3 linked regions of the Drosophila melanogaster genome follow. The protein of the gene in region 1 interacts with the protein of each later gene in a pairwise test. Each region holds a gene or a part of one and is shown in the gene's direction. Other genes may lie near its edges.

Region 1 (5,330 bases):
AGATATACTCTAGTTAGTCGGATTATTGCTTAATTTAAAATAATTTATTCATAACAAATAATTATAAACGAAATTGAATAAATGGATCTTGAAAATTATAGAAAACATGCTGAGTTTTGTTTGCGAAGAGCCCGCAATGCCGGTTTATTTTTTTGTTGTTAACTTGGCGTTAATCACTAGTTTTATGGCTTAAGCCCTCCACGTTAATTATACACTCACCGACGGGCCCTTAAATATTTATTCAATATTTTTGAATTGATATGCGAGCAAACCAGTTTTACTTCCCCGATAAGCTGGTGAATTGACCTTTAACTACTTTTAATTATATTGTATTGGCCCAAAAAAAAAGGGGCTGAGTTGGAAATTAAGTGATAAGCACTTGCTTTTAGTTTGTAGGGTGAATGGAGAGCTATGGTAACACCTTTAGGTAAATATTTGCACTTAGATATGCATATTTATCAACTGCCATTAAACACTCTCCTTTGAATCATTAAGCCGGAAGCTTGACCAACTTCACTCCAATCAAACCATGTCTTGCCAACTCCCACACTATTTCCAGGTGCAAGGCATCTGGCCTGGTCGGCATCAGTGGCCAAAGCCACGTAACCCAATTAACCGGCGAAGTCGTAAAATGACAATATTTCCTAGAGCAATTGAAGGCTGATGATAATCCCAAACCCCCCTAAGAGTGTTAGAAAGTAGCTCACTTTCGTTACACTGCACAACAAAGTCACGTTCGCTGAGGAAAAAAAAACACTCCAGAAAGCGCTGCACACGAAGAGCAGGAAGAATGCGTGTAATCGAATCTTGAAGACCGAAAAATAAACATGTTAATAATACAATTTTATGATTAATACGCACTGAACTGCAGTGCGAGGTGGTGGGGTAAAGGTGGGGCATTTCGGAGGAGATCAGACTTGATGTTGCTGTTGCGGCGTCGAAAAGTGCGTGGGACGTCTTAGCTCGTAACCACTGAAGATGCTGGGAACAACTCGAGGAGGATTCGGACGAGGAGTGTGTGGAATGGGGCGTGGGGCCAGCGAGGCTTATTTATAAATCACGCACATAATGAAATTTCAGCAAGTGGTCGCCGCTGTCCGAAAAGCGGCAAAATATGCAGCGTTGATGTGGGATAGCATCTCGGGTGTGTCCGCAGCACCGCAACTCCGTGATAAATGCACATCTGCATAATGCCCTCCTCCAACTGTCCGCTGACATGCCGGCGACATAATGACGAACAGGTCGGGCCATTCATTCAACTTCCCTTTCCCTTGGATCCCGATGCTACTGTCGTGTTACGCATCAGTCCCGTGTCAACGGCAAATAGGAGTGGAGGGAGTTCCGAAATGGGGGACACTTGTACTGCATAAGTAGCCATTAATAGGTGCCATATGCATATCATTTTGGGCTCTGGTTTTAACGAGTAGTTCGTCTGTTTTGAATGCCTGCAGAGCGTGCCGTTTATTTACGATCTCCATTTCAAAAGAGCAAAAGTCTGGCCCCATCCACCGAGTTCCTTTGGATTTGGAGGTGGTGGTCGAAAACAAGGATGGACGCATTATCGGAAAAGGGTTCGCACGAATCCGATTTAATGGCCTTAAACGGGCCTACAATGTAAGCATGTTTCGGGATTGAGTTTCAGTTTAATGGCCCAAACGATCTACAATTGGGGCAGCCCAAGTGGGCGACTCCACCATAATAATTGGTGGATAAACTAATGAACTGAAGACAATAAGTAATTACCCATAAATATAATCACAGAGAGCGACTTTTAACCAAAATATTTATTCTTACAAATTACACAGCAGTTTTAAACAATATATTACATAATTGCAACTTAAAGCGCACAAACGAAAACTGCGCTGATCGTTACAGAATATTTAAAATAACATTTTCTATATAGAAAATAAATTTTAAATTTCCTATATTTTAAAGAAGATTACCCATTATAAAATTTTATTTTTTACTAAGGAAGCGGAAGATATGAGATCTGAAAGTTGACTACCACTTTTTCCACTCACTTCCTCAATTATTCAGCAGCGATCTGGCCACACTGTCGATGTTTACGCAAATTTTGCACGTGGGCGTCGCGGCTTACTCACGCGTCAAATCAAAAGAAACACAAACGAAGACAAAATGCCGCGTTTCTCCCAAGAGCAACAACAACAGCTGAGAACAAAACAGAAACGCAGAAAGGCAACAACAAGTTGTCGCTGCTCCAAGTTGCTCCAGCCAACAGCGCTGCCGCTGCCTCAGTCGACGCTGCGCGTCGATCATTCCCTTTGCATTTTCAAATTTTCAGTTTCAGTTCGCGTTGGAACGTTGAACAAGACGGTGCGTGTCCTAGGTGCTTCGATAAGTGATCAGTGATTAGTTTTGGCGATAAATCAGTAGCATCAATCGATCGAACTATCGCGAGAATGTTTCAGTTTTCAAACGCTTCCTAAGTGTGCTTTTGAAATCAGCCCGCGCTGTACAAAGTTTTTTGCCCATATTTTTAAATCCGATCGATCCTCAAGCAGCATCCTCTGCATCCAAGGTGTCCAAGATCGCGTCGCGTTCGCCTTAATAGCATAAAAGTGTTTTAATTTTTATTGGCACGAACGGGCGAGTCAGTTGCGGAGCAGTTGTCGTTGCTGGAGGATTGTAGGCATTGGCGTCGCGTGTTCTCCACCGCGATTCCATAAAATCGACTCCACGAAATCTTCGCGTGTGTCCCCATTCCAAAATCCAGCTTTTCTACCTGGCGCGTATTTCGAAAAGGGTTTAAATGGTCTAATGCATCCGTTTCGTTATCGATTCTTTTAGTGTGAAGATACCCTTGCGACGTGTTTGATCTTTCGCTCTGCAAAAGTACAACATAATAAAAGTGTCTGTGCGGGCGTCCAGGAAAAAGCGGCGGAAAAGTGTGGCAATACTCGTAAAAATAACTCAGGTCGTTTCCATTCTAAATTGCGCGTTGACAGCCGCAAGTGGCGCAAACGAGCCGCACAAACAACAAGGAGCTGTCAGTTCCGTCCCGCCAAGTGGATCACTTGGATCACATCCACATCCGCAGTGGGGGCACCTCTAGAGCAAGAGCAGCGTCCTTGACCACGAGGTGAGTGTGAAGGTGGGCCAGACCTCCGGGCTTCTACATATGCTGCTTATTCGTGTGGCCAAAATCTGGGCTACACTCCGCTCACTCGGAAAATGAGTGCGCCAAGTGGCCAGGTGCGAAGTGCATTCCATATTCAAGTGCCTGGAAGGTACTAGAGCATATTAAGTTGTTCTTAAAGAAGTTGCGTTAATAATGATGCATCATCTCATTTTTAACATATTCTCAGGATCGTAAAGATAAACGAAAGATATACGGAAGTAATCACGACTTGGGTCTATGTTTATTAATATCATTCATTTAGAAAGTTATTAATAGCTAAATGCTAATTTCTTGTTTTCAATCTTAACAGACTGTAGACTAAAGAATCGCATCTTCTAGCTGCACACCCACAGCAGTTTAACTCCTTTTCATTCGACTTTATTGCATGATAATCACCAAGTTGTTGATAGGCCAATCTATGAATATTTTTTATGAGCGCCTCACAAGATTTCTATTCATTTCACCGCCATTTTATATCTGATGATAAATCAAGCTAATTGTTGTTGTAATTCAAATACTATCGATACATATTAATTAGCCACACCCAAGTCAACCGCAATCTGGCGGCAAAATCGGCCTGTGGCATCCTCACCATTCGAGCGACATTAATCTATGGGGGATCTGGGGAGATCTTATCTGCATTGGCGCCATAAATACCGCAGTCGAGTCATAATTTATTAATTACCGGACTTTCCACACGTATTTAAAGCAGATCAGATTGAGGTTTATGCCTTTGCGAGAACTATAATTATGTGGATCATATAAGGTCAGAGCACAGAATATTTTCCCCTCCAACAAATATGAATTGTGATTCGAAACGGCAGCCACAGATTGCTAATGATGTTGACCAAATGAAGCTGGTCACATTCCCCAACAACGGTTAAAATACTTAATTTTATTTGGCTCGATTTCCCAATCACTTTGCAGCTTCTACTGGGCTCTGCTACTCAATTCCAAGCGATTCAATTAAAAGACGCCCACTGCAAAGATCCCCATAACAATTTATAACTGCCTGTTCGAGAGACATTTCAGACTTGCGGTTATTTTATTATTTGAATATATTATTTAGCGGCAGTGGCGTTGTGACCCGAAGGGGTATTAATCTTGAAGATGTAGTAACCAATAGTTGGGAGATACTTTTAGCTAGGCCTATGACTTCGTTGTATCGATGTATCTATACAATAGATAGATACTTTCCCTTCAATAGAGCGGACAAATAAGATCGATCTGTTCAGTTTTGCAATGAGATGTGACAGAAATTCACTGAATAATTATTCAAATATGGAGCTTGGTGTTTTCTTATTCTCTGTCCAAACATTGACACCCCTTGGCGCTCCACACAGAGATGACTCTTCAGACATGGTAATATCTTGCTGGCCATATTTGGAGCTCGAGTTTGACATTATTAAAACATAAATAATATTGCCATTGTTAGTTATGGAATTTCCGCTTGGCAGCGAGTTATGAGTTCATAAACAAATGCAAATTAAGTGGAAAATTGTTGCACCAGCAAATTAGCGCATCGTCAGTGGAAAGTCATTTGGACACCAATATCCGAACCTTCTGCGGCAAATCAGGCTAACAAATTTTAATGCTTTGTATTGACTTCAGTCGGAATTTGCAATTCAAATGGAGCAAAGTCACAATAGCAGCTAAGGCTATTTGTGTTGGCCGTTTGGACTGCGGGCTTCAAAACCAATTCAAGTCGAATGGAGACGCGACTTTGCCTTAATGGTTCATCAACATAAGTTAATGGGTTTTCGGTTTTGGCCTAATGACAGATTAAACACATTCTCAAGCGATTTGACAAGATTGCCAACGAAAATTGCGCCGAAATGTATACTTTTATCCGGGCAAGAATAGTAGCATCTATCACGCATATTATTTTCCTTAGATATTTTGCGAAGATATGCAAATTATTTAAAGACGACCACTGATAGCAAGGTGCGGTCCAACAAACACCTGGTAAAAATAAACATTTAATTATATAGCCGCTGTATAAATTTAATTGATGGCAATATAATACGATTTGAGACAGTTTCTAGCTGCTGGCTATGCTTACATCAAAAAGTAGTCATCATGCATGTTTAGCTCAACGCAAGATTAAAGATTCAAGATTACAGAGATTATAATAATACCATTCTTACGGGTCTTTAAATTGTGATTTATGCGTTTTTACACCTACAATTTC
Region 2 (5,101 bases), on another chromosome or scaffold:
CACCGTCACCTCATCTCGATTATATATACATATAAATATATATATATATGTTCTGAAATATATATTTCCCAACTCGGAGCCACCTTATTTATCATTGTACTAACCCCAAATCCTTGGAAGGATTTAAACCCACTTGAAATAAAGATATACAGTCGATTAATCTCGTTCTACACATAATTGCAGGCTCCACGGCTCTGGGCTTCTACACGCCCATGAAGGGCACGGCGATGGACAACCTATTCCAGCTGGGTGTCACCCGATACGCCCTGCCCGAGAGCAGCAGCAGTGGGAGCAGCAATGGCAGCCACAGTCCAGGCAGCAACGGGAGCAGTCCAGCCGGAGCTGCGGGCAGCCGGTTGATGTTCAACGGGAATGGCAGCATTATGGGCATCGGCGAGGGACTGATCAAGGAGGGCGACTTGGCGGCAACGGAAGCAGGACCTGGAACTGCAGATGGAGCAGGTGCCTCCAAGAAGGGTTCAGCTGTGGACGAGGATGATTACCATCTGACGGCGACGCCGGGCGCCGAAGTTGTGTACAGCGAGGGTACACAGAAAACGGATTTGCTATATTAGGTCGTCCTGCCAGCCAAAAAACCGGAGCGTCTAGCTCTTTTTCTACCGGTTTCCACCAAACTCCAAACCTTCCGAGCATAACAACCTACCACATCCTGATCGTTCCCCTAATTGAAAAGCGTGCACTTAGGTGAAATATCAACTTCGGTTAGACGCGAAAACAGTAACGAAGGAAAGAAAAATAAAAACAACAAGGCAACGTAAACCAAGTATGGCAAGAAATCCATAAAGATACGTATATAAATAGATATTATTTGTAAGTTTGTAAGCCTAGAGATCCGATGTGTATGTGTACAACAGCAAGCGTGTGTGTCTGTCTTCTTTATAAATATATATATATGGTTTTTTTTTTTTGATAAATTAATAATTATATTATTGTAATGTATCTACATACGGCACTGAATGAACAACTTTGCTGCTGCAATTGTATTTGTATTTGTATTGTGTATTCCATTTACGGCATTTTGATAGTAAATATACAACAACAACAAATCAACGTATTTCCGACTGCATCCCGAAGGTTACTGAAACCTTAATCCACGAAGTACGCGACGAGCGGTTAGTCCCGCCCGAGTATTAACTTAATGGATTCTAACGATCCGATCTTGTGACCCATCATCATCCCTTTTCGCGACCCTTCCAAAACGAAAATGAAGAACATTCTAAGCTCCGCTTGCCCATTCAGCGGAAGAAAGCAAAGGAAAATGTAACATTTGCCTCATAATTATTATATACATTTAGCGCTTATTGAATATTTTTTACAATTGTATTCCGTAAATAAATATAAAATACATCAACATCTAGTCGCGTGTTTTAAGTTAAAGGAAGTTAAGGCCAAAGCAAAATGTTAGCAACAGTTTTTGTTAAAAGTTAACATATATAATAATGGTAATTTAAATATTCAAATCTATGAAGTGACTTATTTTATAAGTCCACTTATGTTTGTTATATTTAATTGGTATTTAGAAAAGGATTCATTTTAAATTAACACCGTTGAGGGTTCAATTTTGGTAGTGCGTCTTTGCTAACCATGCCGAGTGGGATCAAGTCCTTGCTAAGTTAGGATGTTGTCTTAGCTAACTGTGCCATCCCTGGTCGGGGTGTGTCTTAGCTAACAATTACGTGTCGATAGATATAATGCTATCGATATGACAGAGTGTCGGGAACAATCGATAGCATTACTTCGATATCGGTACTAGTGCCACCTCCAGTTTTGTGATTGTGTCAAAAATACAGGGTTTTATTGTTGCACTAGCAATTTAATCCGAGGAATATAAATTTTGTGTGGAGTTATGTTCGAGACGTCGTTGCCAGCGATTCAAGAGGCGAGCGGTCACACGTGTATGTGTTTCACTGGCGGTGCGGGCGCCAACTCCGCCAAAAAGCGTACTACTTTTAACCTTAGTTGACATTGAAATGTACCCGCTTAGTTGGATGTCCACGATGGTGCGTGTGTGTGCGTATATGTGTGCTATGCGGCGTCTGTGTGCGCGAGTGTGTGTGTGGGATTGCAAAGGAGGATGGGAGAAACGAGAGCAGAGCAAAAACAAAAACAAAAGGAACCTGCTGCACATAGTCGGTGCATGCGAGCGTGCTTATGTGTGTGTGCGTGCGTGCTAGCAAAACAACTGCAAGAAATCAGCAACAGTAGTAGAAGAAGAGAAGCTGTATCACTGATAAGGAGGCTAAACAACAACAAAAACAGCAACGATAATGTGCACCCTTTCGAAATGCAAACAAAACAAAGCGTTGTAGTTGTGTAATCATTCGTTGTGAACACACCACACACACACACACACACAACACTTGTTTAATAATACATTTTAATTCTATTATTTTTGATTTAATTTTTGCCTGTTATTCAAATCGATCTGTGTTTTTGCAGTTGGCATTCGTTATTAATTAAATCAGCCGCCAACAGCTGAGCGAGAGAGCAATCGAGAGCGACAGGAGAGGATCCACTTCCAATCGAATCGGGTGGAATCGAATAGCAGGGGCTTGGTAATTAAAAGGAAGACCGAACTGAACTGAACTAAACTGAAACGGAACGAAGCGAAGCGAAGCGCGGCGAGGCGGCAAGAAACGAAAAGAAAAGAACGAAAGTCGGCAGAGTCGGAAAGTCGGCAAGTCTGATTGTCGGCAAAGTCGCAAAGTCGGAGAGTCACAGTCTCAATCGCAGTCGGCGAGAGATTCCACTCGTGTCGCACGTCCGTTCGTTTCCACATTGTCGTTATAAAAATAGCAACGCCTTAAACGATCGCATCAACCTCATCAACAGAACACCACCAGAAATCACCGCCCCCTCCTACGCCTCAATCGCCATCGCCACCGCATCCCATCCCCATCATCTTCATTAGCAGGCAGCCTGACAGAGTAACTAACTGATCTTGATTGCGACCATAATCACCGTCATCATCATGTAATCCTTCACTAACCAATTGATTTCCGCTCGTCCACCAAATAGATTCCAAACTGCCGTTTCGGCAGCCGGCAAGATTTCACGAAATCTAATGGCCAAGGACGAGGAGGATGATCTGCTGCCCGACAAGGATGCGGCCAAGGGCTTCTATGCCAAATACGAGCCCAAGGAGATTCTGGGCAGGTAAGAATCGAACTACACTTGCCGTGATCTCAAACCTCTTATTAAATCCTTTTAAATTCAGTTGAAGTATTATTGATCCTGCACTTAACCATTCAAATACGTTTCTTTCTATTTACTTTGCGTAGTTAATTTTGCAAATTTAAGATCATAGAAACATTGATACTTGTATCCTCAGAAATCACTAGAACGTCCAAATATTGATTGTTTCTGCTTTCCCAACCTCTTACTGCCAAGTCTGCAGTAATGCAGTTTGGGCTAAATGGTGCCAAGTGAGTCAGCCTCATCAAGCTTCCATGGCATGGAGCAATGGCATGGGCTGCTTTTCAAGCGGCGCCTGTCTGCCGGCCTACTCACGCCACAACGAAGATCAGAATTTGCCAAGCAAATAGCAGAGACTAAGCGAAAACAAGGGCTAATTACATATTACAATTCTAGGGATTAGAGATTAGATAAATACCCGATCATGGCAATGTCAAGTGCAGCAGAAGCAGAGCTCTTTATCTACATGCAATGTTTGTCTTACAGGGGCATCAGTTCGACCGTGAGGCGATGTATCGAAAAGGAGACGGGCAAGGAGTTTGCCGCCAAGATCATCGACTTGGGCGCCACCACAGAGTCAGGCGAGACGAATCCATATCACATGCTGGAAGCAACCAGACAAGAAATCTCAATACTGCGCCAGGTCATGGGGCATCCCTACATAAGTTAGTCTCACATAGCACCCACATGTACTTAATTCCACCACTAACCATCTACATTATCGTGCACAGTTGATCTGCAGGATGTGTTCGAGTCAGATGCATTTGTTTTCCTCGTCTTCGAGCTGTGTCCCAAAGGTGAACTCTTCGACTATCTGACCTCTGTGGTGACGCTATCCGAGAAGAAGACGCGCACCATTATGCGACAAATCTTTGAGGGCGTCGAGTACATACACGCGAAGAGCATTGTCCATCGGGATCTTAAGCCCGAGAATATCTTGCTGGACGAGAACCACAACGTTAAGATCACGGATTTTGGCTTCGCCAAGCAGTTGCAAGAGGGCGAGAAACTTACAAGTAATTATAACACAGCATCCTTCTGTATTCGCTAAGCTAAACTATATGTACTTTCCCCCTATTAGATCTGTGCGGAACGCCGGGTTATTTGGCTCCCGAAACGCTCAAGTGCAACATGTTCGAGGGATCCCCCGGCTACTCGCAGGAAGTCGACATGTAAGAGCGAATAAACTAGCCACTTATTATTACACCTTTTTTTGGCTCACTTAAATTATAGAAGCAATTTAAGCACAAAAAGTATCACATTTATTGTAATACGAATTGTCTGCTCAAATTACTAAATTGCTTATGTTAACAGCTAATTTTATTATTAAAAATTTTTGCTTACATAAAAAAAGAAAGGTCTAAACTTTTGTATCGATATTAGACCCGTTTTCCTTTTTTTTTTGTTTTATAGACGCAAATTTTGCTGATACATTTCATTAACTAGTGTTCCTCGTGTCAGGCGATTTGTTTTGATCTTTAGGTGTGCATTTTAATGAATGAGTCAGAAGCAGAAAGGCATAATAATCTGAAATCTGAGTAGTTCCGATACCGACGTCTATATTTCTTCGGTTCAGCAAAACGTAGGGCTTTTTGTATTTTTGAGTTCTTTAACGTTTCCCACTGGTATCTACGTTACTTGGTTTCAGCAGAAATTTTTAATAGGAAAAATTGACACCTTTTACCCATTTCTTTTTCGATTTCTTTTTGTTGTTCGCAGATGGGCCTGTGGCGTGATTATGTTTACGCTGCTCGTCGGTTGTCCACCTTTCTGGCACCGCAAGCAGATGGTCATGCTGCGGAATATCATGGAGGGCAAGTACAGCTTCACCTCGCCGGAGTGGGCTGATATTTCAGGTTGGTCAAATTGATATGCACATGCCAAA
Region 3 (3,741 bases), on another chromosome or scaffold:
TTGTCCATCTGTCCATGAAACTCTGACCACTCAAACTTCTTGAGTTGCAAAAGGCAGCGCGAGCCATAATTATTATAAATGAAGTCTAAATGATTTATGACAGCCAGCAGAGCACGCTTACAACGCTTCCAGCGACGGAACTACCTCTTCAGATGCACTGAGAGAAAATTTAGCTTGACTAGCTTAAAATAAATAACATTAAGTGCATGTACCTTTCATGTATGAATGAATTTCATTAATTAACATTTAAAATATGTAGCAACCCATATCAGAATGCAAGTACTCGCTGATTACTTATTTCAAATTGATTCAAAATCTGCTCAGAATTTTTATGAATTTATGACTGTTTTTCTGTGTGCTAAGCTTTTGTGCCCCAGGTTCCGTCGGAAGTTTGGTCATACCTTTAACACCGTAACAATGAAAACCCAAGTGACGACGTTGATGAAAAACGGCTCAGTAGGGCCCCATATAGGCATAATAGTTCCGAAACAAAGTTGGCGATGTTGACGCTGCTCCTCTGTCAACTTCGGCGCACTATTGTGGCGCTAATCATTCATATAAACATGGCTGCGGAGAGCGCTACAGATACAGATACATTTACCGATACAAAGAATGCCGTGGGGCTAGCGGTGTTATATCGATTTAAATGATAATAATTGGCCTCTAGAGCGCCATGGACAGTATCGATCTGTTTTAGAATTTTGACTATAAATAAACCGACGTGGATGCAAACGCTCAATCATTTGTGGTTTAAGAGCTCAAGGTGTTAGACATATCATAAAGGAGATGGTGAGTGTGGTCAGTTGTAGATATGAGAAGCAATCTGAACTTCACGATTTCTTTCCTATTTCAGAAGCTATTCATTTTGGCTACCTGTCTGCTGGCTTTTGCAGCCGGTGATGTTTCGCATTTGCCGCTGGAACTCCTGGAGGAGCATCATGAGCATGGCTATGGCTATGACTACCCCAAGCCGGAGATACCATTTGTGATTACCTCGACGACGGAGCCACCACCGCCACCACCGACTTATCTGCCACCCAAACCAGTACCCACTTACCTACCTCCTCCTCCGCCCACAACCACAACTACCACCACAACCACTCCGGCTCCTACTCCCGCTCCTACCTACCTTCCTCCCCCTCCACCTACTACCACTACCACGACAACCACTCCCGCTCCCACTCCTGCTCCCACTTACCTTCCTCCCCCACCTCCACCACCGCGTACCACTACCACCACCACCACTACAACCACAACGACACCTGCACCCACGCCAGTGCCCACGTACCTTCCACCCCCACCACCACAACCGGAACCGGGTTACCACTACGATGTGCCCGCCCAAGAGTTCACCTTCTGAGCAAAATCGCGATCGAACTGAACATGGAAGATTTCCCCGGATTAGTTTTGTTTTAAATCGTTCCACTAGGCTTAGGTTTATATAAGGTTAAAGCCATCTCAATAAACGCTGTTTTGTTAACCCCATTAGCATCGGTATCTCCCAAATATTTATTGGGATGGGACAAAAGTGGTACAGATGGCCGAGTCAATCACCGTCAATTGTCTGGGATTTCGTCGCATCCGCTGCATATTCATGAGCTGCTTTGTTGTGCAGAGCTAATTTGGTCGAAATCGCATTAATTGTTTTGGGGTAGAGGGAGATAACACACGCCGATAATTGGCCGACCTCAAGTTCATGAAAACCAAGAAAAGTGTGAAGAAAACCAAATAGCCAGCCGGTCGAGGAAGGCGCGATCTTTGTATAAAAGCGGTGACCATCGACGTTATTGACATTACTACCTGCTGTCATCAAACGGCAGCAACATCATCTCGATCGGTGGATTATCTCTTAAAGGAAATGGTAAACAGTAGCGGCATATTCTCTAATAAAGATGACCTAACAGGAGGTTGGTTATTTTACAGAAACCCATGCTGATCCTTTTGGCTCTGGCAGGCTTTGCCATCTGTATTCGGGCAGACGTGTCCCACCTGTACGGAGGAGGTTACCACGATCACGGCCATGATCACCATCACCACCATGATCACGATCACGATCATGATCACCACCACTATGATGTCCATTCCCACCACCATTCTCCCTCGTCACACGATCATCATGATCTGCACATTGATCTGCACTATCAGCCGGATCACCACCATCATCATCATCAAGAGGCCAAGTTCGATATCCCTAGCGGATATAGCTATGGACCTCCAGAGAAACCTCGCCAGAAGTACCTGCCGCCCAAGGTTTCCCTGCCACCGCCACCACCTCCACCGCCCAAGGCAACTTATCTGCCTCCCTCAAAGCCTGAAGTGAAGTACCTGCCCCCCGAACCGGTGGCCAAGTATCTGCCACCCAAGGTCGCTCCCAGCCTGCCTCCTCCACCACCACCTCCAGTTGTGGCGCCCAAGCCCACATATCTGCCTCCCAGTCCGCCAGAGTCCAAGTACCTTCCTCCTCCGACGCCCGAGGTGAAGTATCTGCCACCTGCTCCAGTGGCAAGGTATCTGCCACCCAAGGTTGCACCCAGTCTGCCACCACCACCTCCACCCCCACCAGTGGCTCCCAAGAAGCTGTATCTTCCTCCTGCCGAGCCGGAGACTAAGTACCTGCCACCTTCCGAGCCCGTCGAGAAGTATCTGCCTCCTAAGCCCGAACAAAAATATCTGCCACCCCAGCCTGAGGTAGATTTCCACATACCGATTCCATCCTATGCACTGCCCTTGGGCCCTGCACCAAGTCCAATCCACGACGCCGAGCCTGGTTACCACTACAAGCCTCCACTTCGCCGTTTCAGGCATTAGGATAATCAACCACCGAAAAAAAACCAAACCACAAGCACTGCATCTAGTTTTAAGCTGTACACATTAAAAGCATTTTTAACAAAAAATAAAATGGAGTATTACACCACTCGCACTCTTTCCCCATCCTCAAGGTCAAAGATATCAAACCCAAATTGCTGTCACCCAGCCCCCAAGGGATCCATGTGGATTTCAATCTGACCTCCAAATCTAATTGCGGCCAATCAACCGAAATAGCCAAACGGCTTCGGTTTTAGCTTTAGTTCAGCTCGATCATCACCTGCAGTGTCGATAATTACTGTCTTTTTGGATGAAAAATGATGTGAGTTTTGGTTTGAATATATTTATAGGGATTGATCGGTGTCGGTTACAGAAAGGTTCAAACCGAACCAAAATCGCTAATCGCCAATTGCAGCCATCGGCAATGGGACGACAGTTGACCTCTTTCAATGTTGCCCAGAGATGGGGCAAGTCTTTTAAAGGTGCCATGAAAAGATTAGACAGAAATAAATAATTAAGCCCCTAACGAATTGAGTATGCTCTTTTGAAAAGGGTTAAAGTTTAAATGTTTAAACATTAGGTTACTTTAATAGCACACTTGATTTGTCTTTCATTTTGTCTTTAAGCATTTTAATTAAAACCTGATAGTGATGTATCAATAATGTTATACATTTCTTAGGTACATGATGACTAATGCATACGAAATAAATAGTCTAACAACTCCAAAAGTACGATAAACTATTTATCCCAATAATTGCCTAACCAAAAACTATTTTAAGTACTTGGCAAACGCAGCGGTGATCGTAAAACCCAACACGTTTATGGCTCCCAGCCATAAAGAGCTCCCTGGTCGGGCCAAAAAAAAACAAAAGCCAACGCAACGAGATGACTTCGAATTAAGAGATTTAATAAAAATTGAATGCCAATTCCCAATAC

The links.
Region 2: the proteins of Tsp (region 1) and PhKgamma interact in a two-hybrid assay, tested with the Drosophila melanogaster proteins (one large-scale study listed by BioGRID).
Region 3: the proteins of Tsp (region 1) and CG15022 interact in a two-hybrid assay, tested with the Drosophila melanogaster proteins (one large-scale study listed by BioGRID).

The regions. Positions count from the first base shown.
Region 1 is NT_033779.5:6,706,057-6,711,386, reverse strand, and holds the start of Tsp (thrombospondin), read left to right. Parts: upstream 1-2,300; 5' UTR 2,301-3,100; intron 3,101-5,330.
Region 2 is NC_004354.4:11,693,364-11,698,464, forward strand, and holds the start of PhKgamma (phosphorylase kinase gamma), read left to right. Parts: upstream 1-1,773; 5' UTR 1,774-1,916; exon of another isoform or gene 1,917-2,021; intron 2,022-2,460; 5' UTR 2,461-2,948; intron 2,949-3,039; 5' UTR 3,040-3,085; coding exon 3,086-3,177; intron 3,178-3,702; coding exon 3,703-3,881; intron 3,882-3,947; coding exon 3,948-4,232; intron 4,233-4,297; coding exon 4,298-4,388; intron 4,389-4,935; coding exon 4,936-5,072; intron 5,073-5,101.
Region 3 is NT_037436.4:4,458,365-4,462,105, reverse strand, and holds CG15022 (uncharacterized protein), read left to right. Parts: upstream 1-1,788; 5' UTR 1,789-1,858; coding exon 1,859-1,861; intron 1,862-1,923; coding exon 1,924-2,808; 3' UTR 2,809-2,913; downstream 2,914-3,741. Other genes in the region: CG15023 (uncharacterized protein), read left to right, coding at 787-789, 854-1,360.